Linked DNA regions of Stegostoma tigrinum. The protein of the gene in region 2 interacts with the protein of the main gene of each other region in a pairwise test. Links are inferred from orthologs where the notes say so. Each region holds a gene or a part of one and is shown on either strand. Other genes may lie near its edges.

What was found.
Region 1: the proteins of dtx2 (region 2) and glyctk interact in binary tests that used the Homo sapiens proteins (3 or more experiments, as listed by UniProt). The two-hybrid records come from large-scale screens. The link is inferred for Stegostoma tigrinum from reciprocal best matches to the Homo sapiens genes DTX2 and GLYCTK.
Region 3: the proteins of dtx2 (region 2) and rfx6 interact in binary tests that used the Homo sapiens proteins (3 or more experiments, as listed by UniProt). The two-hybrid records come from large-scale screens. The link is inferred for Stegostoma tigrinum from reciprocal best matches to the Homo sapiens genes DTX2 and RFX6.
Region 4: the proteins of dtx2 (region 2) and eif4enif1 interact in binary tests that used the Homo sapiens proteins (3 or more experiments, as listed by UniProt). The two-hybrid records come from large-scale screens. The link is inferred for Stegostoma tigrinum from reciprocal best matches to the Homo sapiens genes DTX2 and EIF4ENIF1.

What each region holds. Positions count from the first base shown.
Region 1 is NC_081364.1:12,379,395-12,386,226, reverse strand, and holds the start of glyctk (glycerate kinase), read left to right. Parts: upstream 1-3,808; 5' UTR 3,809-4,220; coding exon of another isoform or gene 4,221-4,381; exon of another isoform or gene 4,382-4,624; intron 4,625-5,324; exon of another isoform or gene 5,325-5,741; intron 5,742-6,832. Other genes in the region: wdr82 (WD repeat-containing protein 82), read right to left, coding at 2,091-2,188, 4,221-4,381.
Region 2 is NC_081380.1:9,060,363-9,067,259, forward strand, and holds the start of dtx2 (probable E3 ubiquitin-protein ligase DTX2), read left to right. Parts: upstream 1-3,874; 5' UTR 3,875-3,996; coding exon 3,997-4,336; intron 4,337-6,897. UniProt on the Homo sapiens protein: Regulator of Notch signaling, a signaling pathway involved in cell-cell communications that regulates a broad spectrum of cell-fate determinations.
Region 3 is NC_081357.1:60,760,851-60,768,616, forward strand, and holds the start of rfx6 (DNA-binding protein RFX6), read left to right. Parts: upstream 1-4,756; 5' UTR 4,757-5,057; coding exon 5,058-5,286; intron 5,287-5,985; coding exon 5,986-6,142; intron 6,143-6,466; coding exon 6,467-6,590; intron 6,591-6,967; coding exon 6,968-7,029; intron 7,030-7,440; coding exon 7,441-7,518; intron 7,519-7,766. UniProt on the Homo sapiens protein: Transcription factor required to direct islet cell differentiation during endocrine pancreas development. Specifically required for the differentiation of 4 of the 5 islet cell types and for the production of insulin.
Region 4 is NC_081379.1:46,712,334-46,719,524, reverse strand, and holds the start of eif4enif1 (eukaryotic translation initiation factor 4E transporter), read right to left. Parts: upstream 3,013-7,191; 5' UTR 2,575-3,012; intron 2,090-2,574; 5' UTR 2,086-2,089; coding exon 1,966-2,085; intron 1-1,965. UniProt on the Homo sapiens protein: EIF4E-binding protein that regulates translation and stability of mRNAs in processing bodies (P-bodies). Plays a key role in P-bodies to coordinate the storage of translationally inactive mRNAs in the cytoplasm and prevent their degradation.

The DNA.
Region 1 (6,832 bases), on a different chromosome or scaffold from region 2:
AGACCCTTGTCATTCATCTTATCTATGTCCCTCATGATTTTATAAACTCCAGGATTAATACAGTTGATCTTCACTTAGTACAAGTTTATTCACCTTGTGTTAGGTGCAACCTGTGAAGGGAGCTCCTCTAGATTCCTACTAAATTCTTTTTTACTAAGATTCATTAATGCTATGACAAGTTAATTACTACGTCAACATCAGCTACATTACAACCACTGGAAATTCAGCTCTTTTCTCTGCTAGGCGTCAGACTCAAATGAGATCTACAGCTGAGTCGAACCCAAACTAAGAAACAGTGCATGTTATGGGTGAGTAAGCACTGCCTGACAACACTGATGATGACAGTACTCTCATCAACAAAGTGATGGATAAGTTATTGGGGCCACAATTAACTTGATTACATTTGTTATGTTTTATGGGGACTGGACATACCAAACAAACTGGAAAACTGCCAGTTAGTAGGCACTCTTCAATTACAGATTTCTCTGAAATAACCTGTAGAATGTATTCAAATTGCAATCACAAGTATGTAAAATTTTACACTTAATTATCCAATAAAAGATTGCACATTTACATTATAATATATTACACCAATTTCAATAATCAACACTAACGCTGTCAAGGACAGTTAGACATGAGATTCTTCCACTCAAAGACACACCATGATGCTGCAGTACTATAAACTGATGAAACGTGAACACTTAGTTATTTATAATAATACATGTGACTGATTTGTGCAAGTATTTTCCACTGCAATCATGTCCCTACAGATCACATTATTCTCTGAAGAGTTAAACTACAGAACAGAATGAGGTAAAGGAATCAACATCATTCACTTGCCAAGCACCCCCAAGATGCTTCAGCTTCAACAAGTCAATTCCCATTTCTCACATGATTGGGTTTAGTAACTCATCCGAAGCAGTACTTAGTGTTTCATTAGAACCCAGTGAAACAAAAATACGCACAATATCAGATTAAGGACATAATGACATTTAAATTTATCACAAGTTTTCTCTTTAAAAACTGGGCATCGATAACACTTGAAATCAAAAAGGGTAACATCAGCATAAGCAAGTTACACACAGAATAGCAGCACACTACACCATCTCTTTTGGCTCCTAACAATTTTTCATACTTTAACCATTTAATTTCAAAGCTACTGTAACAAAATTTTTGTTCAAAAGCTGTCATAATAAAGTGCGTGCATGCTTGTATTTCCACTCTGTACTGAGGAAGCCAAGCCTAACTAGTGAGGCATTGAACACAACCGGCTGCCATACCCTCCATGCTGGAGGCCTCGATCAAAGGGCCAAAAAAGGAAGCAAAGAATCAGACCACACTGAGTCAACATCATCCTTGTGAAGTGTCCCTGTGTACAAGAAGGAAAATAGCTAATTTGACGAGGTTCCATTGTGATGATCACAATTCTCTCCTTTAAAACGTATCAGATAGTTTGGTGGCATGTCTCATGTAAATAACACCCACTTCAATGAGGTAGTAAGGTATTGGTTACTTTCCTTTCAAATAGTATCAACACTTTGCATAGAAAACAACTGCCCCAAAAATTACATTCTTCCTCTCTATTTCTTGCTGGTTTATTCCCCCTCAAAAGTTAATTAATTCGACACATCTTCTAATCTACAAATTTCAACTTCCAGATCAATTGAAATATTAAAATCAAATTCACAGTTATTTTGATTTGGAAATAATAAAAAGACTGACTTGCTTTCAAAACCAAACTGCAAATGCAAATACACATTGGTCCCCCAGCAATTTGACAGGCAGGTCTAAAGTTTTAGAAAAATTATAAAGGCAGCCAAAACAATGGCAAACTGAGAACAAAGGATCAAATATGTTTTAAGAGGTGGCGAGACTTCCAAACAAACAAAATAAAAAGTTACAAACTATTGTTGTGTTAAACTGGCAAAACATTAATTCTATAAAAACTGTTAATGTACTGGTAACAGATAAATACAAACTTTACACCACAACCTGATTCTGCAGAGATGCAAAGGATGTCCCAGATTTGGAGAAGTTCACAGCAAGAGAAACTAAACAGCTGGAGATCTGTACAACACAAGCTAACTTACCATCGATTTTGTTAGAGCTGTAAACCACTGTATTCGCTGCATGTGTGTATCTGATCAGGTCTACCCCATACTTCTTACTGTACAGTGTCCTCTTTGGTCTGACAGGTAAGAAAGAAATTACATTAAGTGATGTTAAGTTTTATCAGAAAAGATGTCTAATTTAACCTCAACACACTGTTGCAGAGAAGTTCACATAACTGTTCTTTCCAAATTTTACTGTTGTCTAGTTTCAAGGCCTCCCTTATGTAGTCATGCCCAAATATCAGAAAAGGCAACAAAATCATCGATGCATGCTTCTGTATGTAACTGATTAACTAACTGACATATAATGCTGTCCTTTGTTAAAACAGTCAAGTATTTTCTTGACCACAAGAAAATGGACCTGCTCAGGCATGTTTTTGACATACCTCTGACCCAGAATCAGAAACACTACGGCTTGGTTACAAGACCATCCATAAAAAGGAAATAAACTAGGTCAACTAAAGGACACCTTATGACTTACTGACTCATTAGCTGACCTGATTTTCAGTAACAGCGACACCAACAAAAATCACAAACCACATGCATCATTACTGTGAAGAGAAAACAAGGAAATTGCAAACCTCTTACATCATACTCAGTGCCAACCACACAGCTCAACAGGTACTGAAGCAGTTATGACATCCTCTACCTTAGTCGGAGACGATCAAACAATTTACTACTTTAAAATGTAACTCAGATATCCTGATAACATTCAGAGCTCTCTATCAGAATGACACTTATTTTATAAACTGAATTACTCAAATTAATATAAGGCTACACATCAATTTTACAGAATTAGCTGCGACAGGCTGGAAATCAGCATGGAGGGACAATAAAGAACAACAATAACATACTCAACTGAGGCCACCTGTAATAATGGATTAACCTGCCAACACTTACTGTTGAGATTTACATACTGAAGTCTAGTGACCACAAAACTCTGTCACAGGAAAAACACAATGCAAAGAATACAAGGCAAAAACAAATACAAGTCAATTTTCTTCAAAAAGACTTAAACTACATCTCTCATGAAAAACAGCATCTAGGGCACTAAAATATAAATAAATAGTTCCCCTTTATGTGGTAACCATTCTACAATCTTGTCCCTTCCATTTCTCAGATCTACTATGTATATTTTCTTCAAAACTTGAATGGCTATGCTTTCAGCTATTTAGGGCCTAAATTCTGAAATTCATTATTGATGCGTCTTTGTTCTCCATCAAGTTACAATTCTAAAATAATATATCTAAACAGGATGAATAAAATTATGTAACACTTTTGTAGGATTTGAATCTAGACGTTTGGGCCCAGACACAGTGGCACTACACCACACCACACTATACTAGCCCATATTCTCTTGCAGTTTGCTAAACAACTTGTTCTGACACACAATGGCACATCTCCAGGACAGACAGGACTTAATCCAGACATATCAAAAGTTCGCGGATAGAAATCGAATCCAGAGCTCTAACTCAGAGACATGAGCGCTACACATTCCACCACAAGACCTAAACTGTGCACAGATTTTGGGTCACACTAAGTGCCAGCTTTACGGATTTATTACATGGATTTATAAAAGTCTGGTTAACTTTACTGAATTACACGGTAAACAGATGCAAGGTGTCTGCCTCAACTGTAGCATGTTGAGCGCATGTGCTCTGCATCGAGGTAGGCTACTAACATCGTGATTTGTTTGGCTACGATTTCCACCTTGAATGGCTGTTATCTGCAACATTTGGGAAAGAAATCCTACAGATGCACTCTTCGCTACGAAGCATATCGAAGAGACATTATTAGTGATCACCACAGACGACGGTCTGAACCCAGAACATCGTGTTGCAGATCACTATTTCCCGCCTCCAACGTGAGACTGCCCTCTTCCTAAATCCAGTTAATAATCCAAGGCAACTGATTACTTTCCAGCTTCTCCTCGCCGCAGGCTGGCTCTGCAATCAGCCCCCAACTCTCTCTCTCCTGACCGCGCAACGCAACCCGAGCTCAGGGTCTTTTGTGAAAATCAAGGCCGGGATTTCTAGGCCTCCCAGAGAGGGGAGGGTCTTTTTGATCTGAAATGAGAGCGGGGGGGGGGGGGGCGGTGAAAGTACTCACTTGCCCTCCTGGCAGTCGTAAAGAACGATGGAGTCGTCATCGCTGCTGGAGATGAGCGTCTCTCCGTTGGGTGAGAAATCGAAGCAGTTGATCTTGTCTGTGTTCTCTCGGAATACCTTAGCCACTCGGAAGCTGCGCAGCACATTATCCGTCAGCTTCATCTCGTTCTTCTTTGCTCGGTGGTGCAGGGAGGGGCTTACAGATGGGAGGAATAGGACGGTTTCTTTAAAAAAAAGCTGCGAGATGCGCCTTTAATTTTTTCTTTTGAGCATCTGAGGGGAGAGAGTTTTGTGTATTTTTTTCTTTCTCCGATATTTAAACACGACTAAAATGGCGGCGCACGACCCAGACTCAAAAGCGACAGCCCTTCACCCTAACCGCGGGGCATTGTGGATACCAAGCCGCGGTTGGCGCGAACGCGCCGCTACCCATAATACCTAATCCCCCGCCCTCGGTCGTTATGGAGATGATGTGTCAACGCCCCCGTCGTCTCCATGACAACCCGGCGGCGGAGGCGGTGTCTCATGACCGTTGCCATCTTCTTCAAAACCCACCCACTGGCAAATGACCATGACGTCAGCCAACATTTTGGTCTGCGGCATGATATTACCCATAAAGCCCAGTCCTGGTTGTCAGGGAGATACGGCTCTACTCTTGCAGCGCATGTGCGTTCAAGGTGCTGGAGTTGAGTCGGTCGCTGTTTTGCTAAAGGGCGGTTCCACTGGATGGCCAGTCTGTGATGATTCTCTTTTTCCATTTTGCACACTTTCCTCCCTTTTGTTATTTTAACGCTTTATTTTAGGATTCCTTTCATTAGAGCTTTTGTTCATCATTTGCATCCCCCTCATGTCACCATTTGACCAACTGAAATCAGCTTGCCAACCAATCCTTCCCCTATCGTATGAACATCATTTGACGTGTGGCATTTTTGCATTTGTCTTGATGAGTGCACATGATAAAAAGCTTCAGCTACATGTGTCTCTTTCAAGCAATATGCATGCTCTCACCTGCAATGTGACTTATTTGTTTTGATTCTCCACTTGAACACTGACCTCAGTTTCCTACATTGGCCCATTTCTAACATTATCTTGTTTGGAGATCTCATGACTTTTCTATGAAGTTCAAACGTGACGTTGAGGAACAGCTCATCTTTCATCAAGTTACATTACAGCCTTCAGGATTTAGCACTGAGTTCATCAATTTCAGATTATAAACTTAACCGCATTATTTTAAATGACATCCATAAGCGATGATTCTGTATTTTTCCATTTAGAGCTTTTCTAGTTACACATTTTGCATCTTTTATCAGGTCAAAGCCATTGTCACCCCTTTTACCTGCGTCACAATCTCTTTTGTTATTTAAACTCTCCTTGCTACCATATCAAATATGAATTTTGTTCTTTGCTCACCTTATAATTTTTCTTTATTTGTTCTTACTAAGTGGATATCTCTGGTAAGCATTTGTTGCCATCTCTAATTACCGTTGAATGGAATGGTTTCATTGATAATTTCAGAGGACAGGTAAGATTGAACCACATTGCAGTTTGTCTAGAATCACAATTAGACCTGACCAGATAAGACCATGATTTAGTGAGATACAGGAACAGAATTGGGTTATTCAGCCCATTGTGTCGGCTCCACCATTCATTCATGGCTGGTATGTTTCTCAAACCCATTCTTCTGCCATTTCCCTTTAACCTTTGATCTACTTACAAATCAAGAACCAATGTCTACTTGTCTCAAATCTCTGTCTCAATAACTTGGCCTCCACAGCCTCCTGTGTCAACGAGTTCCGTAGATTCTCCACCCTCTGGCTGAAGAAATTCCTCCACAATTCAGCTCTAAAGAATCACCCCTTCACTCTGAGGCTGTGTCATTGGGTCCTCGACTCTACTGCCATTGGAAATATCTTCTCCACATCCACACCATCCAGCCCCCTCAGTGTTCTGCAAGCTTCAATCAGATTCAAATCTCATTCCTCTAAATTCCATTGAGTACAGACCCAGAGTTCTCAAACTCTCATCAAATGACAAGCTGTTCATTCCTGGAATCATTCTAGTAAATATCCCCTAGACTTCATCCAAGATTAGCACATCCTTAGATTTGGGACTCAAAACTGCTTCCAAATGTGGTCTGGTCAGAGCCTTATTTCGCCTCAGCAGTACATCTCTGCATTTGTATTCTAGTCCTCTCGAACTGAATGCTGCCATTGCATTTGCCTTTCTAACTACCAAAATGAACTTGTATGTTAACCTTAAGAGAATTCTGAATACGGACTCCTAAGTCCCTTACTGCTTCAAATTTCCCCATTTAGAAAATGGTCTGTGCCTCTATTGGTCCTACCAAAATATATAACCTAACACTTTCCCACATTGCATTCCATCTGCCACTTCTTTGTCCACTCTGCTAGCCTAAGTCTTTCTGCAGCCTCCCTGCTTCTGTAACACTACCTGTCCCTGTCTTTGTGTTATCTACAGACTTAGCAACAATGCCCTCAGTTCCTTAATGCATATCAGTAATGTATAATATGAATAGTGTGATCCCAACACTGATGCTTGCAGTATTCCACTAGTCTTTGACCGCCATCCTGGAGAAGACACCTTTTTTTCTCC
Region 2 (6,897 bases):
GGATTTCAGTTGGCGGTTGGGAAATAAATTATCCTAAATTATATCATTAACTTTATTAATAATTAAAATGTAAACTATGAATGTTAATTATATAATTAATGTTTATGTTTGACATGTTATACTTTGTTTATATTTTACAATTAATGTATATTTATTACTGTGTTAATACTATTAATCCTAATGGTGGGTTACTACAACTAATATACACATCAAATATTGTAGGTGACGCTGGACAACTGATCAAGGATTCTCAGATATTGGGGAATTAGTCCTTCAACCTTCTGATGTGACATTTCATCCCTGTCCTCTTTCAACAATAGAGGTTCCCTGTGAGAGGCTTCAACACATCAGTGAGCAACACAAGGCACTTTTATGAGTGTCCCGCAAACTGTCACATCGTACTCTCATCAGGTAGCAAGTACAAAATAAAGCTGAGATAACAAAGTGTGAAGCTGGATGAACACAGCAGGCCAAGCAGCATCTCAGGAGCACAAAAGCTGACGTTTTGGGCCTAGACTCTCTGATGAAGGGCCTAGGCCCGAAATGTCAGCTTTTGTGCTCCTGAGATGCTGCTTGGCCTGCTGTGTTCATCCAGCTTCACACTTTATTATCTTGGATTCTCCAGCATCTGCAGTTCCCATTATCACAAAATAAAGCTGTTTGCTTGTAGTTGTGAGCTATCACCTCTAGATGTCTCTGCTGAATTATATTGCTTGAAGTCAATATTTATTTAACTTTGTTTAAGATAAGTTATTAAGAATCATTGAATCCCTACAATGTGGGGACAGGCCCTTCAGCCCAACAAGTCCACGCCAACCCTCAGAGCATTCCACCCAGACCCATACTCTCTATAGCCCACCTAACCTACACATCCCTGAACACTGTGGTCAATTTAGATTAGATTCCCTACAGTGTGGAAACAGGCCCTTTGGCCTAACAAGTCCACACCGCCCCTTGAAACATCCCACCCAGACCCATCCCCCTATAACCCACGCACCCCTAAACACTACGGGCAATTTAGTATGGCCAATCCACCTAGCCTGCACATCTTTGTACTGTGGGAGGAAACCGGAGCACCCGGAAGAAACCCACGCAGACACGGGGAGAGCGTGCAAACTCCACACAGACAGTCACTCGAGGCTGGAATCGAACCTGGGTCCCTGGCGCTGTGAGGCTGCAGTGCTAGCCACTGAGCCACCGTGCCACCCATAAAATTACAGGTATTCTTTCTGTATCGTTTTGAAGTCATTCTCTGTCTTTCCCATTCACCTGTCTTTACTACTGGACATTTCTTTGATTTCATCTGGTCACTATCCCCTTTGTCTCTGCCAGTTCCTTGCCAAAACCATTACTTTCCAGATCACCAATCTTGTAGCCAGCTCCTGGCCATCACAGCAAACCACTGGGGTATAGTAAGTTTGATAATGAAATATTGAGTAATTAGGTTTATTTGCTTTCTATTGCACAAATGGTCTCAACATGAAACTCAAACAGAATGTTATCCCTTGAGGGAGGGGGAACATAGAAAAGATAATTCTAGAACTGTTTTTATTCACTCATGGGACATAGTTTTGGTCATTACTCACCACCCAAGAACTGAGTGGCTTGCCAGGCCATTTTAGAGGGGAGTTAAGAGTCAACCATATTGCTGTGAGTCTGGAACCACATGTAGGCCAGACCAGGTGAGGATGGCAGATTTCCTTCCCTGGAGATCATTAGTGAGCCAGACAAATTTTTCTGACAATCAGCAATGGCTTCATGGTGATTATTACATCTGTAATTCTAGTATTTTTTTAAATGAATTCATATTCCTCCATCTGCTGTGGTGGGATTTGAACCCAGGTCCCCAGAACATTAGCTAAGTTTCTGGAATAATAGTCTAGTATAATTATACCAAGCCATCACTTCCCTGTTTAGGCCTATTCCTTTCACTGTAATTTTATTTTGCACACTGATTTTTAAAAATAATTACACAAATTCTAAAAGAACTGCACTGTACAGAGTTATTTAGGTCCACTTGACATGTCAAAATACTTTATAGCCAAATTATGCTGTAATACATTTGCAGGGCAGATGGAATTTGAACCCAAACCATCTGATTCACAGATAGTGACACTAACACCACAACACAGGACCCTCATACTTTTGTTGGTAAATGTGACATCAAAATGCACGCAGAAAGATCCCAAATTGTACAATGAGATGAATAAAAATTATTTTTTGAGATAAAGCTGCTATTTGAGAAGTAAATGTTATATAAAGCATTAAAACTTTCTTATGTACATCTCATGCTGCGGAATCTCAACCTGCCTGAGTGGGCTAAAAAGGATGTAAGTTTAAACCAGCCATGACTCAAACTGTAACAATTTCCTCATTGACTCAGAAGTTGTGGGTCTAAATTTCACTCTGAAAATCGTAATCTGAATTGACACATCAAGCATAGTACTGTGAGGCTTTTTCCCCCAATTAGTCAGATTTTAAATTGTCGCCTTATCATCTCAAGTAAAAGTTCCCATTGTCCCATGGAAAGAACAGGAATGTTCTCTCTGTGTTCTGACTTTTCTTTCCTTTCAACATCCTTAACAATAGAGATCATTATTATGATACTTCTGTTTGTGGGAACCTGGTGTGTGGAAACGGCTGTACATTTCCTACATTATCAAAGTGACTGCTTAAAAGATCCTTTATTCACTGTAAACCATTTGGAATGTTGTGGTCATTGACAAGTTTGCAAAGGTAAATCTTAAGAGATCCAGCTAAAAGACCACAGTAGTTCTGAAGTATGGTACCATAAATAGAAGCAGAGACACGTATTTTTTAAAAAGACACTGAATTAGTGTAAGGATCTGAAATGCATATGGCTGGAATAATTAGATAATACAGCTGCTTAAGTGAACGTAGCACCACTTAAGAAAAATAAGGTGGTGATTTTGAAAAAAACTGCACAGAATACAATTAAATGAAACACTAGTCAATTTCGAAGGTGGATTTACCTTTTTTTAAATCCCAGATGTTTCTTTGTACCACAATGACGCTATATTGATTTAATATCGGATTTAAAAGAAATACCCCTGCAGATTTATAACTCGTCTAATTCTCATCATCGTTTCATAAGTTTTTGGGAGAGAAATAAATGTATTTGCACCTATTGACTGGATTTACCAGGATGTTACTACTACCCCTTGTACCAGTCTGTGCTGTCTTCGTGAACGCAGCATTCATTCCAAATGATAATTTGCCTTAGAAATAATCTTCCGGACACGAATTTTCCCATCAGCCCTGTACAATTATTCTATTGTGCTCTAGCATGACCCCGAATTGAATGTGCGTCTGCGAAACCAGCGTTGACAGGAGCATGAAATAAAGTAGACAAATGGGAGCAGCGGTTCGCTTATTCATTCCTAAACGTGCCAAGTGGATTATGCACTCAAATAAAATCAAAATACCCGGATTCTGGAGATTTTGAAATAAAAACAGTGTTGGAGAAACTCTGGTTTTGGAAGGAGAAACAAAGTTAACGTTTCGCGTTTAGTATGACTGTTGGGAGTTTTATAATTCTCCAGCACTGTGTTTTACAATGATTATGCATTTTGTTTTTACACGTGGGTATTGCTGAAACCTTGGTGATGTTTATAATTACAGAGTTCACTTTATGTGGCCTGTGTAATTAAGTCTCCCCCGCCAGATATACACTATCATTCCGATAAAAGTTTATTACCAAGTTTCATTTCTCGACTCGCACCTGACACCAGCCGTCAAGAGTGGGCGCTCGCTGGAGCGGGGTCGCATGGGATTTGTTGTTCACAGCTAGTGAAACAGCAGCTAGGCTTCCGGCGCTGTTGGCCGGAAAGGACTACAGTTCCCAGAAGGCAGCGCTGGCGTTGACACCCTGGAGACGAGGAAAACAGTGAGAGGGAGGAGTTTGAATCGGAAAGTTCTCGGTGTTTGTTGTTGTAGCCGATACAAACTCGTAAATCCACTTTAGAGAGGACGAGGATGGCAAGTCAGGGCGTCGGAAATGGCGGGGTAGCTGCTGGAGGAGGGGGCCTCGGTGCCAGTGGCTCGGCTTTCTCGGTCACCCCTTTCTCTGTGTCGGGCCCAGGAGCTGGCCTGGGTCCGCTGGTCTCCGTGTGGGAGTGGGAAGACGAGGCGGGTCGTTGGAGGCCCTACAGCAGCCGGGTGAGCGAGCACATAGAGCGCAACCTCCAGCATTTGCAGGGAGCGGCTGCGGCGACAGCTAAAGGAATCAACAGCATCTCCCTGGGCCAGGCCGAGCCCAGGTTGGCTCCCTACATCATCGATATCCCCACACTCACCCAGTTCCGACAAGACACTGGTAAGACTAGCCCCTCGCTCTCAAAAGTGTCAGCAAGATTTAATCACATACTGATTATTTACAATCTTCAGCTTCACTTTTGGTGTTGCTATCAGTGATTCATTCAGTCGTCCTAAATGTTTGCTCCAGGTGCAGATTTATTTGTTAAAATGTTTGCATTTCTTCTGTAAATTGCTTTGCCGATTTAAGCCCGAGGTTTTTTTGACTAAGAAACAGTGTTTTCAAAAACTAATATCACCGAAAAGAAATCAAACGTTAGCCAGGTGTAGAGCTGGATGAACACAGCAGGCCAAGCAACCCACCTATTAATCTCATGCCGCCCCCTTGACCTGCCTGTCCTCCCTGGACTGACCTATTCCGCCCCTACCTCCCCACCTACACCCACCTTTAACTGGCTCCATTCCCGCCTCTTTGATCGGTCTCTCTCCTCTTCCTCTATCCATCTATCCGCCTCCCCCTCTCTCTCCCTATTTATTTCAAAACTCCCGTTCCCTCCCTCATTTCTGAAGAAGGGTCTAGGCCCGAAACGTCAACCTTCCTGATGCTGCTTGGCCTGCTGTGTTCATCTAGCTCTACACCTTGTTATCTAAGATTCTCTTGCATCTGCACTTCCTACTCTCTCTCAAATATTAGCCATACTATATTAAGGTTAAAAGATTTTTCTGCAGCACTACAGTTTGTTTAGGCTACTAAAACTAACATAGGTAATTGTTAATATTTAACTGTGAGACTAATCATTTCAATACCTTGGTAATAGTTGCTATTGTAATTAGGGTATATATTTGTCAGATTCCCCCTCTCTCTCTATTTCAAGGGGAGATGGTAAGGTACTAGTAACCCAGAAGCCCAGGCTTTGGCTCCAGGGAAATGGATTCCAATTCCATGACAGCAATGGGAATTTAAATTCACTTAAGTAATTCAAAAACTGATTATGCCAATAAGACAAATCTCGATTATTTTAAAAACCTAAGTAGTTTGTTAATTGCTTTTTGTAAAGAAGCCTGCCACCTTTACTTGACCCAGCCTGCGTGTGACTCCATATCAACAGCGGTGTGGTTTATTCTTAACTGCCCTGTGAAATGGCCTAGCAAGCCACTCAGTTCAAGGATGACAAGGGATGGGCACCAAATGCTGACTTTGTTTTTAATGAGCTCATTGACAAAGATAGTTGGAACTTTATCTTTGATATCTTCCCATAATTGCAACTGTGGCTCAGGGAAATTGGGGTCTTAGCACTGACTTTAAGTTTTGATGTTCTGCGTGTTGTGGAAATGTGCTAACTTACTGTAGTTTGGAATGATTCATTTTTCAGGTTTTTTCAAGTCTGAAAAGAAGCAAGACAAATGTATGCTTTCTCAAGTCAAAAATAAGATTCCATGTTTCATTTGTGATTTTAGAGCTAGACTTTGCAAAGTTAACGTGAGAAATGAGTCAAACACATGAAGTAAAGATGAGCTTTCACAAAGTTGTCAGTGGCTCCTCCACATTGGGACTGTTGATTGTTCATGCATGACGAGAAAACTGAAGGTGTTTATGACCTTAAAGCTGGCTGTCAAGAAAGTTTAATGCCCCCTCAGACATCATTGTTATGTTGAAATTGCAGTTTTTGGTCTTCAATTTTAGAAACTTTCTACAGCTTCATCTTGATATTGAAATCTGGCAGGAAAGAATCTATTTGGCTTGTCTATTGAAACAGGAGAGAAAAAAGGAATCAGTTTTGCAGAGCATTATGCAAACAGGCTTTCTTTGGGTGGATGAAAAGAGAGCAAATAAAGTTACTTTAGGATTTTGACTTCTATTTTAAACTGAAATACAATCTGGACCTGAACACTTTGGATTTATTGACTTTTTTTAACATGAGCTGCCATGTATTTTGTTAAATTCTAGTTGTGTTGGAGGCTTTTTCCATGTGTTGGAGTTTTTGCCCATGAGTTTGATTAACAAGACCAGTAATTTGACCGTAACAGTACATTCAGTTAATGTTAAAGGATTTCTTTAACACTTGAGACCTGTCTTGCATTAGATTGCAAGAATGTTAATTTTTGTAGTAACTTTCATATCACATAAATCCCAAAGTTCTTTGCATTACTTTTCGTACTTAAATGTTTTTGCCAAACACAACAGACAAACAAAAAATAGAAATTGCTGGAGAATCTCAGTGATCTGGCAGCATCCATGAAGAGAAAATGTGAACATTTTAAGCCCATTGACCCTTCTGCAGGCCTTGACTCATCATTTTATTGTAGTAAAATCCCAAAAACAAAAATTAGATGGCCTACTAATTTTGCTGGTAGCGAAGGATAAATATTGTCTAGGGTTCCAGGCATATTTCCCTGTTGAAGTTGGTTGGCTCGCCGAGCTAGTTTGTTGTTCCGCAGGCGTTTCGTTACCATGCAGTGCAGCCTCAGATGAAGTGTCGATGTGTTTTCCCACCTGGTTTTTAAACTCTGGAGTCCTTTGAGCTGGATTGTCTCACTTGCAGTTTTCCTTCGAGGTGGAGTGCATATGGGGTCGAGTTCTATGTATTTACTAATGGCTTTCTTTGTGGAGTGCCAGGCTGC
Region 3 (7,766 bases), on a different chromosome or scaffold from region 2:
CAACATTGATCAGAAGCCAATCAATTTTTTTTCAGTTTGCCTGCACTCCTTCTGTAACATTAAGAGTGTGGCAGACCCTTGAGGTAGCCCTGTGGTAGGTGTGGGTGGGAGGATCACAATGGGGTAATCACTTCCCCCCAAACCCCCATTTCCCTGGCCACTGCTGCGGCCACAACCACCACTGGCCCACACTGCCCATCTCCCAGGGAGGAGGGGCTTGGAGGTGGGATGGTTCCCCATCTGCAACAGTGGTCTAGCCACTGCGGCTATTTCAATTTTAACTATTTCTGAAATGCTGAGAGGAAACTTCTCCATTACTGTAACAGCAGGCTGCAGTTCCTTCAATGCCACTGCGCCGTGATCACCCATTGACCCCCAGTTGGAAAGACAGTGAGTCGTCTAGATCTGAACTGGCCAGTCCTGCAAAATCATCTGTTGGATTGCTGCTCCTCAAATATTGTGCAGGGACATTACTTTATAACAGGCACCTTAGTGAAGCTAACATGCAAAAAGGGGAAATCACTTGATTCTGTCAGGCAGTTTTCTTCCATATCAGTGATGAGCACCATTATTTTGTCTCAGACCAAAAATTCCAGACCAATATCTCTTGACATGGCTCTGTGCTAAATTTTGATGATGACCAGTGAAGACAAATGTCATTTGGAGTTGTAGCATGCTTACTAGTTTGTTTTGGACCACAAAGACATGTTGTGCTTACGAAGCTAAATGAAATTAGTCCAGAAGTTCACTTGTTATGTTTTGAATTAAGCAATCTGTAGTTAATATCATCTTAACAAATTTGGACACATACATGAGGATTATGTGCTGAAGCTCATTTAAAATGTCTCTTCCTCTTATTCCATATAACCTGTAACATGGCAGAAAGCACCAGTATAGGTGGAGGGGTGACTGAGGAGAGACTCCTGGCCCTCACAGGAGAAGACCAGGACCACTCCAATGGGGATGCAGAAACATCCATGTCTGACCAACTGAGCAAAGACTACTTCTCATTACATTTTAATTCTTACAGCAAGTATCATTTATCACTCACCATGAGTTCTTCTGTCTCTTTGAAGGCACCATATCTATGGCCGCACCAGAGAAATGGCTTTCAATGCCAACAACACCTTCTTGTTGTCGGACGAAGAGAATTCAGAGGAAGCATCCTGTAACACCTAACAGCTCAAAAACTGACATCTCAGTGGAAGCATTGCATTAAGAAAGTTTGGAAGCACAACTTGGTGAGCACTTCACAGCAACAACTCAGCAAGTGCCTGAGAACAAGCTGCTGGCACCTAGAGGCCTGCCCGAAATCAGGTAACCACTCAGCTCCAGGAGAGCTGCCTGTCATGTCACCAATCGGGGATGTTTTCTAAATGCACTGAGAGGAAAAGAGGAGGCAGACAGTGAGACCGAAGGTTGCAGGAGTGTAGTTACACCATGGGAACCCAGCTGCTTCAAGCATATCATCATCTGGTTGCCTCAATGAACAGGTCGGTGGCTGGCATGAAGACCGGGACCAGGACCCTCAGGGTCTGTTGGATACACACATACACCTGTACTTCTTCAACCCAACCATTGGTCCTCATGACTTAGGGCATGGTGGCAGTGCCAGGGATCCTGGTGTGCACTCCAGGTCCCCATTCCTTACATGATGAAAGGGCAGTGCCAGGAGGCATCTAGCTAGAGGAGGAATCACACACACAACTTCCTGTCAGCGCACTCCAGAGATAGCCAGGCCTCCATGCTGTCTGCCTCCCAACTGACCCTTACAAATTGAAGCCATGGAAGACCTAGTTGCCTCCAGCAAGAAGGCCCTCGACATATCTGGGCCATCCAGAACAAACACCTCTAGTGTTGCTTGACCCAACCTCTGAGGCCAATGGTTTCCACTGCAAGCAAGCTGCCTCCACCCCAGAACCAGAGATAACATTAAGATGTAGTGGGAGGGAGAGGGAAAGAAACAAAAAAAAAATGCTTTTGAATATACTTTGGTGGTATAGGTGTGAAGGTTATTGGTTTTGCCTTACATCTATTTGTTTGAACCTCTGTGTGGTCCTGACTATAACTGCACCAGCATGGTGCCTAACATTCTGTCCCTACGGAACAAACTATGGCTTGAAGTCTGTGTTGAGACAATGCTGCAGTCTAGAAACTAGATGATCAAGGTGTATATAGGGCAGTGAGTTATGATGGCACCTTACCGTCAAACATCCCCAATCTTTCTCTGGCCACTATGCGGAAGTGTTGGTGTGAATGAAGTGGCCACCAATGTGTAGGGCAGTGAGGTGTAAAGCAAAGAGGGATCCAATGCATTAGTTTTGCCTGAGATTATTGGGCATTCAGGTCTATGTCCTGGACAGTACATGACTCTGTGTATGATGTTCTTGCCATTTAATGGGCTTGCAACCTTTCCCTCACAAGTTGAGACATTTACCCTGACTACTCTGAGTACAGTCTCAACCGTCTTCTTTCACATTGCATCATTCTGGTTCACAGCAAAGTGAAAGATGGCAGATATGCTCTTCAGCCAACAGCTTCTAACCTCTGCCTCTGTGAGTCAGGGAGGTCCTATTCATGATTGCCCTTCCCATGAGCTCCTTAGGCTAGGGATCTCCCCAGATCCCCATCAAACCCATTTCTGTGAACTTGTGCTTAAACACTTTACATCATCTCCTTCCCCACTGCAGCCCCTTTCATATGGGGACACCATACCAAGTGTGGTCATACACTACCTTCTGCTTGATGCTAGGGTCCTCCTGACCATGGATGAATATCTCTCCTGCAGTATCTCATTCCCATCCACACTTTACCATATCCACCCTTGATATATTCAGTTGCCCCTTCCCCCAAGCCGTCAGGTTGACAGCCCAGGGCAAGACAAACAAATAGCAGTTCACTTAACAGCTTAAAACAGAAAAACTATGGACTCCGCAACTTCATTGACCACATTGATGAATGCTAGTTGAGAATAGGTTAAGTTTTGTTTTCTTTGCTCAGATTCAGTTATCTTTTTGTTGATGTAGTTAACAGTTCGGAAGGAAGTATTACTTTCTCAATTCCCCCACATGTTCCTGCATCTCTCTCCCATTCACTGCTTCCTTCCACCAATCCATTTCCCTGCCCTTCAGCCCCTTCTGCCACCTTATCAATGGCAATCATTACTTTTTTGACTAATCACACTCATCAGTTTCTAACAGTTAGTTTGGAACAAGGTGAAACGTGAGGCAAAGAAAAAAAATCCAGACATTTTAGCGAATCATAGGTCCAAAATCACTGTTCTTTTCACACACAGTACAAGTGCCACGGTCTGGATTTTCAACCCCAATACGGGCTAGAAATCAGTAGCGGAAGGGAAATAAACTTTGCCCATTAACCTACATTCTGCTTCCCTGCCTCCAAATCCACAGTAGAACATGGCAATTAATGTAATGACATTGATTCAATGTGAATGACAGTTAAGTGCCAAGTAGCAATGCATATGATTCTTTTTATTCTTGCTGGCTTGGCCAGCATTTATTGCTTACTCCTAAGTGCCTTGGAGAAAATTGTGGTGAGCCACTTTCTTGAACCATTGACCCAGCAACAATAAAGAAATTGTTGAGTTTGCTCCAACATTGAGAAAGTTCAGGACAGAAATGGCAAAGTTTATGGACATCAATGAAATCAATGGATAAAGAAATAATGCAGGAAAATGGCATGGAGAAAATACCTGCCTTGATCTAGAATGGCAGAGCAAACACCGCAGCAGAACAGCCTTCTTCTGTGCCTAAACTGCAGACCACGTAGATGCCAAGATCCTGTTAACAACAGGAATCATGCTAGATTCATTGAATTAAGCCCTTGACTAGAAACAGGTCGGAATGAAGATTGAGTTCAGAGATTCTGCTCATGATTAGCACCAACAATTATAAAAGAGTTAAAGATCCAAAAGATGACAAAATAATCTATTTACAGAATAAAAATTAAGATTGAAGATGGAGAGATGAAAAACTAGAGGAGTAAAGAAAAGCAATATTTTGGACTAAAGCAGGTTTCAGACATCTAAGTTGTATTTGGAAAAAAAAAGCAGTGACACATCATAGAGCCAGATGGATAGGAGGGACCTGGAATAAACAAGATGAAAAGTAGATACAAAATCGATTAGCAAGATAGGAAATGAATTCTAAGTATGTTACTTGTTCTATAATTTACCATCTGTGATAATCTTGGGTCAGAACACTGTTCCTATGAAAGACAACATTATTTTACCCTTTAACAATGTTTCTGTGGAAGTTTTAAAAGTCAGCAATTTGTTGACTTTTTCTAAGCCACTCTTTATCCTTGTACTAAGGGCTCAGCTATCTACAGCCAGATATAAAACCGTATGATAAACACAAATCTGAAAGGCACAATCAGAAATGATTGTTCCCTTTAGTTAATCATTAATTTTGGGGAGCGGGGGATGGTGGTGGGGGGGGGCGGAGAGAGAAGTGGAGTCGGGGGTGGGAGGGCGCGTTGGATCTGCTCTCCACATTTCTTTTAAATGGTAAACAAGCGTGATTCATCACCAGGACGTAACTGTGGGCTGACTTAACAAGGGGTTGTGTTGGGTACCTTCACAGTAAGAGCTCTTAGGACCAAATTCACCCATCTGCTAGTGACAGCTGACTTCGTTTTTGATAACTGTGGTGTACAAACAAATAGGGCGGGCTCGGAAAAGTTTAAATAGCTGTTGTAAGTGTGTACCCTGGTTTATAGATTTGTTAACCTTGGATCAAAAAAAAATCGGGAATGCTGTACGACGTCTGAAGAGCTTTCGTACAGCCATTGATTGCAGTGATGTCAAACTGTTGAGGCTGCGAGTAGGATCAAAACCCGAAGTGCCTATCCAATTGGAAAGACTGAGAATCAGATTAAGGGGTTTGTCATCCGATACTGTGAGGACCCATCTCTCCGCAGACTGACCATTCACCGACTTTTCAAAAAGAATTATGATTTGATCCCAGTGGTTCCAGTAGTTTGAAGGGGAAGGGTGAAAGGCACACTGACAGCCCTTACTCGCTCCGGCATTCGCCATGAAGATGCCCATGAAGAGAGTCCCTGAGTCTCAGGGTTCATCTGTGGTTCACCTGCAGCCCCCGCACAAGCTAGTGGCTGGCATTCAGGACGAACCCTATATGACTCTGATCGGCAAACACTTGGCTTCGCTTGCGGAAAATTGCGGCGGCGGCGAGGAACTAGAGAAGAACTCATTGCCCGGTTGTGAAGAGAGGGAAATAGGGACAGATCTGGGCATTAAATCAGGTGGGATTCTGTCGCTTGCGACAAAGATTTGCGCTGTTGTCTACACACTTAAGGAACCTGTTGGGAACAGGGATTATTCAGCCATTATCAGAGGTCAAGTGTGCAGGGTCTCTAAAGTCGCGGTCCGTTTTAATTGAGTTTCCATCCCACGATCATTATTAAATTTAGCAGAGTAACAAATAATAAGAGGAAGACTAAAGCCTCAATGTGCAGTTGCGCTAATTTTTAGAATAATCAAAATATTGTCGGACCAATTAGATGGATTCCTTGAAGTGGGTTAACATAATAATTCACTCGAATGGTACAATTTAAATAATGCTGTGCAGTTCCGATAAAATAATCAAAAAAGTGCTAAATTTTAACCTTCGGGTTTGAGATTTTGAAGAATTATACATCATGAAGATGCAGAATCTCAGTCTGTGACCCCAATTTCTTCTGTTTGAATAGAACCAATATTTATCCATCTTTTAGGGTTTTCTTTTTGAAAAGATTTGGAATGCTAACACAAAAGGCAGTAGAGGCGTTGGGGGTGAAGGGGAACTGCGTATTGGCTAATCCTGAAAACTGTTGTCCTTTACAAAATTGTAGCGTCGAAGTCTGAAACGCTGATGGACTCGGGGACTCGACATCATAAACGATTAAAGAAATAAATGTTGGTAGAACCGAAGGTCCGCCTCAAAATCTCATTCTTTCCCCCAGAATCAGAAAACTGCAACGAAATCGCATCCTCTGAAGAAGAAGAAGGCCATGTTCCTGAAAGGAAAACATGCCTAAGCGAGGAACAACAATGTCAGAAAAAAACTATAACTCAGATCATCAAGGACAAGAAAAAGCAGACACAACTCACGCTGCAGTGGTAAGGACATGACGTGGAATCGAGATGAATCTAACACCACAACATTATTGTAGTGAATACAGATGGTAATAACTACAGATGCTGGAGTCAGAGATGACACAGTGTGGAGCTGGAGGACCCTCTCTTAGATCTGCTGCTGTAACAAAATCCCTTTTGCACGAAAACAAGTCCACACTGAATGTTTAATCCGATATATTGTTTTAAAATTTGCTAAAGACAAGCTGAGGCCCATGATTTCGGTTCACGTTTTAGTCAAGGGTCAGATTTGTCCCAATGTGTAGATAATGTTCCTAATTAATGTATCTTGCTCATCTCCATTGTCAGGTTGGAAGAAAACTATATCGTGTGTGACGGAGTCTGTCTGCCCCGGTGTATTCTCTATGCCCACTATTTAGATTTTTGTAGGAAAGAGAAGCTGGAACCAGCCTGCGCTGCCACTTTTGGAAAGGTGAGGCGTGCTTAATCACTGAGAACCCTGTCAGCAAAGAATGAAGGGAATGCTCCCTTTTCAAGAGATTTTTTATTAGCAGCTATATCCATAACTAAACTTGTCCTATACTATCACACTCACCTCATCTTCCAGTTTGATCCCTTATTGGATAATTTGAATTAATATATTAACAATTTTAATATGCTTAATATCATAGAATCATGCAACGGTAAAATCATACAACTTAGACCCGCTCACTACTTTTGTAAGTGCTGATTGCAATGAAGATACGCAGGCAATGTTCCCAAGCATTCGAAAAGACATCATACGAATAAACGCAGATTTTCTAGTATATATTGTATGTTCAAAAATAACCTTTTAGATTTTTCTTTCAGACAATACGCCAGAAGTTTCCTCTTCTCACCACCAGAAGACTTGGGACAAGAGGACACTCAAAGTAAGCCAGTTAGATATCACTGTTTTGTGAGTTCTAGTCGTCATTGTATCAACTTTCTTTACTATACAAACTTTGGACTTGTCAAACTTGGAAACATTCGGGCAAAGTATCATCTGATTTCTTAGCAGCAATTTTCTGGAGCTTATTTTACATCAGATGACATCAGACTGTTGATCTCGTTACCAGCTTCTGTCAAAATGAACTTCCTTTAAATCCTGATAATTGTAGGACAAACCTTTGTTACCTGTCCCAGTTCCTTACATGCCAATCCAACATGTTGTGAAAATGTGTGCATTCACGCAGGTGAAAAGGATTTCGTGTAAGCACTTGATTTTGATGGATATTGTGGTAGCTTGTTTCCTTATTGGGTTAAAGCAAAATTAACTTCAAAATCATGGCACTGTTTTGCAGATATCACTATTATGGAATTGGCATCAAAGAGAGCAGTGCATACTACCATTCAGTCTACTCGGGTAAAGGCTTGACAAGGTAAATTTATTCTATGTATGTCATAATAACATCCTTTTTCCTCCTTGGCTGAAAATGATTATTAGTGTAATCAGGAGCTGGCTTTATTAGTCAGCTGTGCCCTAACTTAAATTATATTTGCTGAAGAGAAAGCTAACAGGATTAGTGCAATATCTGTGACATCAAACAAAGTGCAATCTGTTTCGGAGCTGCAATAAACCTATTCCCAGTTATTGGTGGAACATTCTGGACACAAATAACGCAGGGTA
Region 4 (7,191 bases), on a different chromosome or scaffold from region 2:
CCTTGACCAAGATCTTTGTATCCTCACCAGCCACTGGAAAGGCCCCAAAGTACTAAGTGAGTGGCTTGTGTTGGTCCTCTGTTCAAGGAGGGAACTAGAGATAATCCAGGGAACTAAAGGCCAATAGTCTCACGGTGGTTGGAAAGTATTAGAGAGAACTCTTAGGGACAGGATTTATGCACATTTGGAAAAAGCATGGCCTCATTAGGGCCAGTTAGCATTAGCTTTGTGCAGGTCATGTCTTACTAAGATGATTGGCTTTTGAGATGGCCACAAAGGCGATTGAGGGTATTCAGTGGATGTTGTTTACATGGATTTTAATAAGGCTTTCAACAAAGATCCCTCATGGTAGGCTCATCTAGAGGATTAAGTTGCATGGGATCCACGGTGACTTGGCCACATGGATTCAGAAGTGGCTGGCCTATAGAAGCAAGAGGGTATTGGTAGCATCTTCCAGGCTGGAGATCCATGACTAGTGGTGTTCCACAGAGAATCTGCACTGGGACCTCCGCTGTCTGAGATTTATATAAGTGAATTGGATGAAAGTGTAGATGGATAGGTTAGCAAGTTTGCAGCTGATATAAAGATCGGTGGCGTTAGAGATGGTGTAGAAGTTTGTCAAAGGACAACAGGATATGGGCAGAGAAATGGCAGATGGCGTTTAATCTGGGTAAGTAAGGTGCTACACTTTGGGAGATCAAGTGTTAAGGAAACATAGCTGGTGGCATGACTCTTAACACCTTTGATGTACAGGAGGATCTTGTGGGTTCAAGCCCATAGCTCCCTGCAATTAGCCAAGTAGATAGGATGGTAAAGGTGGCATAAGCATGCTTGACTTCATTGTGGGGAATTGTGTAGGAGAATCAGAATTTCATGTTACAGCTTTTAAGATGTTGATTAGGCCACAGTATTGCAGTCAATTCTGGTCACCACGTTACAGGAAAGATGCAGGGGCTTTGGAGAGAATGCAGAGGTGGTTTACCAAGATGCTGCCTGGACAAGAGGTTTTTAGAGTGGCTAGAAAAACTCAGTCTCTGCTACTCAAAAAGGAAAACAAAGGGGAGACCTGATACAAATCTATAAGATTGTGACGCATGGATAGAGTTGAAATGTCTAATACTAGGGGGCATGCATTTAGGGTAGGAGTGGGGAGTTCAGTGGAGACAGCAGGAGCAAATTTTTTTTAAAAAGTACAAGTCTGGAACACTGCCAGGGTGGAGGAGGAGGCAGATAGATGCATTTAAAAAAGGACTTTCAGACAAGGACATGAATATGCAAGGAATAAAAGGCATATGGACCAACAGCAGACAGAAGGGATTAGTTTAATTTGGTGTCATGTTTCACACATGATCATGGGTTGAAGGGACTCTCGTACAGTTTTGTGTTGTACTGTTTTAATACTTTAGATCAAATCCTAAAATAAACTTGCCTAACAGCACTTGAGCTACAAAAAAAAAAAGGCAGTTTACCACCAGCTTCAAGGGGCAGTTGGAGCTTGGTATTTCTCAAAGTGTAGCCAGCAGTACTCAGATGTTAAGCAGAAAGTTAAAGGCAGATGATGCTTGATACTTGGAAAATAGAGGTTGAGTGGGTCACGCTACCCATACTTTCACAGTTCATTAAAACAGCGACTGCTGTTACATGACATCACACCACAAAATGGTTTTTAGTCATACCTCAAAACTTTGGTCAATTGCTATTGACTTGTGTCCACTCAGCTGCACCAAGTTAAACAGAATCTTCCAATTTTGCTACAGCTGGACACAGTCATCAAGACAAATTCTTGAACAGAATTTGTTCTATCTATTAATCATGATCCATCAACTTGACAAGTATAGCCATTACTAAAACAAAAATAAATACTTGCAAGCTGTAAGATCCAAAACAAGTTTAAGATGTCAACCACATCAGTTCCATGAAATGCATTTTAAATATTAACCCTAGCTATCACCACGTAATCCATACCTTTGAATATCGATACGGTTTCTTCATAACACAGATTTTTGGTAGATTAACTAATGGCTCTCCATTTTCTTCAATCCATTCTTTTTTATCCATGGCTGCCACGGAGGGCTTTGTGAACATGTCCCTTCAAACGAAAACAAAGCTTCAAACTCAGTCAATTCGAACATTTAAAGCTACTGCACTTTAAAAAAAGAACCCAAGTCAGTTCGGAACGCAGTTAAAAGCTACAAAAGAAATTTAATTTCCATTCCATCAACTACTGTTGCGCTAGTAGTGTTACACTATCGTACAGCACAGACATCCAAGTAGCAATTGCGCAGGTTTGTCTCCTCACCCACTGGGAGAACGCAACTGCAACCCGTTCTCCCTTTGAAAATTTTTCAGTTTTGAAACAAGACGGCTTGCGAAAAAGGTAAAATTATCCCGACTTCACCACAGCCAAGGCACACTAGGAACAAATGGCCAGCTATTTCATTTGACGTCGCAGGAACCCATAAACAAAACGTGATATAAACAGGACGGGACAAAAAAAAACACACAGTTTGCTTCACCTGGTACAAAGACCGAGGCTAGTCGATGTTTTGCATGATAAACCATACAGACACACACCTGACAGAGAGATTCCGAGGCTGACAGTTCAGGCCTCGGACTGAGGAAGTTTGCCCGGGTGAGAAGGAGTGGGGATGAAAAAAAGACGTCCGGCTGCCCTGCCGGTCACCAGGTCCGGGCCGAGCGGAGAGAGTGCGCGAGGAGGGAGAACGGCCCGCCCGCCCGCTCCGGGCACTGGAGGGGTTTTTTTGGGTGGGTTGGGGGTTTGGTCAGACCCCGGCGCCACCCTAAAGACTGACTCCCGAAGACAGGAGGCAAAGGGTAGGCTTCTTCCCCGGGAGGGGGAAGTGAGTATGGAGGAAAGGGGAGGGGGTTACGGACACTCGGCCCCTCGCTTGCCGCCTCTCCCGCTCTAGCCTGAGCCGGAGCCGACGGAACCGGCCTGTGTCCCGAAGCCCGGCAACAGCCGCTTCGCGCACCCGGATGTACAGACCAACCGCCTGCCTGTCCCCACAACCAAAACAGAAAAAAACAAACACACAAAAAAAAGCCACAAGACCCGCACTTTCCTTTTTTTAAAAAAAAAAGCGCTTTCGATTACACTTTTAATAATTTTGTTAAGACCCCCTCTTCGTCCTCAAAAGGGAAAGGGCCCACAAGCAACTAGGATTGACGACTATATTTCAGACAATAGAACCAATCAGAGCGGAGGAGGCGGGGCAAGACCACAACGTCATTGGGTTAATCCCATTCACTTTTTCGTCTGATTGACAGTGATACCGGAAGTGGGCGGCTGAGTGCTGTCAGAGGCTGTCTATTGAGTAGGGCAGCCAAATGGAGCGTTCAGAGCAATCACATCATCCTGGATGATTAAATTTAATTCATCTCACATGTCATGGCCAATATCAGACGATATTGTTAATGCTTCTTTCTCCTCAACCACTGACCCCCCTCCCTGTGGAATTTCTTTCCCCACAAATTACTGTGTCACTGATTTTAGTCAAGGTAGTACTGAATAGATTTTTGTAAATGGAGTCAACAACTCTGGACCACATAGAGGAAAGTGGAGTGGAGATCACAACATGTCAGCAAATCAGCTTTCCCAAAGAGTCCCTAGTCTGGCATACATAAAAATGCACAGCAAGCCTCTGGACAATGTGGATCATTTCCCATACCTTGGAAGCTTCCTCTTGGTGCAAACAGACATTGACAATGAAATCAAACATTGACTCCAATAAACCATTGCAACTTGAGGAACAGAAAGTCCAGCAAATCCATTGCCAAGCTCATGCTATACATTGAAGCCAGGCTCCCACCCTCCTGTATGCAGCAGAAATATACAGCATGTACAGTAGATATCTCAATTCATTGGAGAGTTATCACCACTGCTGCCTTTACAAAATCCTGGAAATCCATTGGCAGAATACGTATACCAACACAAGCATCCTCTCCCAGGCCAGAGTCATGGATGACTAGCTGCTGTGGGTGGGCCCAACTCAGGACTCCCTAAACAGGAGTCTGAGCTCCGCAGTGGTAAGTGATCACCAGGAGGGTAAATGAAATGCTACAAGGATACTCTGAAACCACCTACCCAAACAAATGTAATATTCCCAACAATGCATGAGAATTGCTTGCCATAGAATGCACAAACTTAGGAAGAAGCATCCACAAAAATGACACCACTTCCAGTATCACCAAGTGGAGCACATGGAGGTTAAGCACAAGGAGGGGAAGGAGTTCACAAAATCAGAACAACCCACCCTCCTGCCTCATCAAATGTCACCTTCCCCTCCTATGGCAGAGTCTGTGGCTCCAGGAGTGAATTATGCAACCACCAAAGAAATCCCCCTTCCCCGCCTCAAATGGAAGGAAGTTGTCCTGGACCCTGAGGAACTGCCAAAGAAAAGAAGATTAGATCCTCATTAGTTATATGGGACAAATGTGATTCCAACCTCTCTGCCCGTAAGACACATGTCTATCTTTTCCAGATTTCACTGTTTGAATAACTCCAATAAGATTTTTCTATTTATTGGAACAGTCATCATTGCATAAATCAAAAAACAAACTCTTACAAGTGAAGAGGTGTGGTACAGAGCTAAACAAGTTGTTCATGGCTTATTTAAGCTCAACATTTCAGAGCTTCTTATTAAAAAATGTATCACTATTCTATTTAGTGCTTGGAAGCAGTGGCAGACTTGAACTAGCACATGGTCCCAAAGGTTAAAAAAGTAGACAGCAACATTTCCTGCCAAATTTTTGAAAATTGAGTCAGCTGACTTTTCAGATATTCACAGAGCTGCCTAAGATGAATATTTCTCCTATGTATACTATTGGGGAGCCTAATGCCTTATTTAGGACTCCTTGAGAAAACAGATATGCCCAAATATCAGGCTTGTCTCACTATAACAATTCTGAAGAAGAGTCATGACATACTTGAAACATTAACTCTCCAAAGATGCTGCAAAACCTGTTGAGTTTCTCTAGCATTCTCTGTTTTTGTATCACATTTTCATCATCTGCAGCATTTTACTCATAATTTAATAAATTATTTCTCGCCAGTTTAAGAACAAACATCAGGACTGTACCATATGTCATCTTGCAACTCACGCGTACATATCAGCAATTAGGTCATCGCTTAAGACCCAAAGCACATGTTTCGCAAGCTCCCATTTCCAGTTTCCTCCTCAAGCAAAGCACATGGGCCTTAAGAGGTGCATGAACAGTCTCAGATTAAGTGCATATATGTAAGAGTACTGTTAAAAATCCTGAGATTTCAGTTCTCCTGTGAGATTGTGGGTAAAGTTGAATATGAATGAGAAACCACATCTCTCACAATCACTTCAGAAGAGTTAGCACATCTATGTATGCTCCAATCGCAGTATTGATACAGCTCAAAGGAGAACACCAGCTTTTCCAAACCCAGGTTTGAAACTTAAATCTCTCATCCCTGGAACCATTCTGTTAAATCTACTCTGCACCTCATCATGGGTCCTCATGCTCCTCCTAAAATGTGGTGGCCAAATCAGTGGCGGTCAAAGTCACAAATAACAACATGTGACTGTGACCAGGATAAACTATTCCTTCTCTGGTTTTGAATCTATATGGACTTTGACATGGTTCACCATGCCAAACTCACCAACACTACTGGCCAGCTCGGTAGGGCTGGACTCACCTAGTTTCTCTTGTCTCTCCAGTTGCAGTCAGACAATTACCATCATTGATTTCTCTTCTCAATCCGGCCACATTGTCACAGAGTCATACAACACGGAAACAGGCTCTTTGGTCTAACTCGTTTGCATCAACCAGACATTCCAAAATGACCTAGTCTCATTTGCCAGCATTTAAGCCATTCCCCTCCAAATCCTTCCGATTCATAAACCCCTCCAGATAGATTGTTTGTGGTGTCTCTCAAGGCCTAGCCCTACCAGCTCTTATTTCTCATCTGTACACTTTGGTGGCACCATTTAAAAATACACCAACGGATTCCATGTATGGGCTGATAACACCCAACTCTGCCTCACCACACCTCTCTCAACTCTTACAGTGCCTCAAAATTGTCAGGCTCCTTGTCAATATCTGGGGCCTGATGAGCAGAAATTTCTCTGAACTAAATATACAGAACAATGAAGCCATTACAAACTTCATTTTTGAGTCACCAATTCCCTGCTCTACCTGGTCACTGTCTGAGGCTGAATTAAACTGTTCACAAGCTTTGTGTCATATCTGATCCTGATATGATCTCATCCTCACTCCTGAGACTGTCACCCAATTCTGACCTGCACCAGTGCACCTGATATTGAAATCCTCATTCAAGTTTTTGTTAATTAGGTCTTCACTATTCTATTCTATTCTTCCATTTCCTACAAATCAAACATTACGCCAATTTGCACCAAATCCCATTGACTTGGCCAACACATTTTAGGAGGAGCATGAGGACCCATGGTGCAGAGGAGATTTACCAGAATGGTTCCAGGGATGAGAGATTTTAGTTACAAACTTGGATTGGAAAAACTGGGGTCTCCTTTGAGCAGAGATTATGGGGAGATTTGATAATAATGTGCAAGATTATGACAAGTTTGGATAAGGGAAGCAACAGAAAACTGTGACTATTTTTGATAATACAAGGATGAAAGGGAAGACAGATTGAAGGTTTTGGTCAAAAGATATGTCAGAGATGTGAAGAGGAACACTTTAACTCAGCAAGCAGTAATGATCTGGAACTCATTGCCCACAAACAGAAACACCAGCAGGAAAGTGAATAGACACTTGAAGGATAAAACAACTTGCACAGCGACAGGGATCAAGAGAGGGAACAGAATTAACATTGAATTGGTCCACAGGAAGTCAGCATGGATTCAGAGAATCCCTTTTGCATTGTAAATGACTCTATGATTGTTGTACTTACTGACATGCATTGGCTTCCAGGTAAGCAATGCTGCAATTTCAAAATGATCATTTTTGTTTTCAAATCGCTCCATGGCCTAATCCTTCCCTATATCTTATGTTTCTTCCAGCTCCATGATGTTTTGAGATCCAACCTCCTCTAATTTTGGAGATCCTTAATTTTAAACACTCCACCATTGGTATTCATACTTTCATTTGCCTAGGCCCTAAGGTCTGAAATTATTTGCTAAAACTCTTTGCCTTTCAACCTTTCTTTCATTAATTGTAGCACTG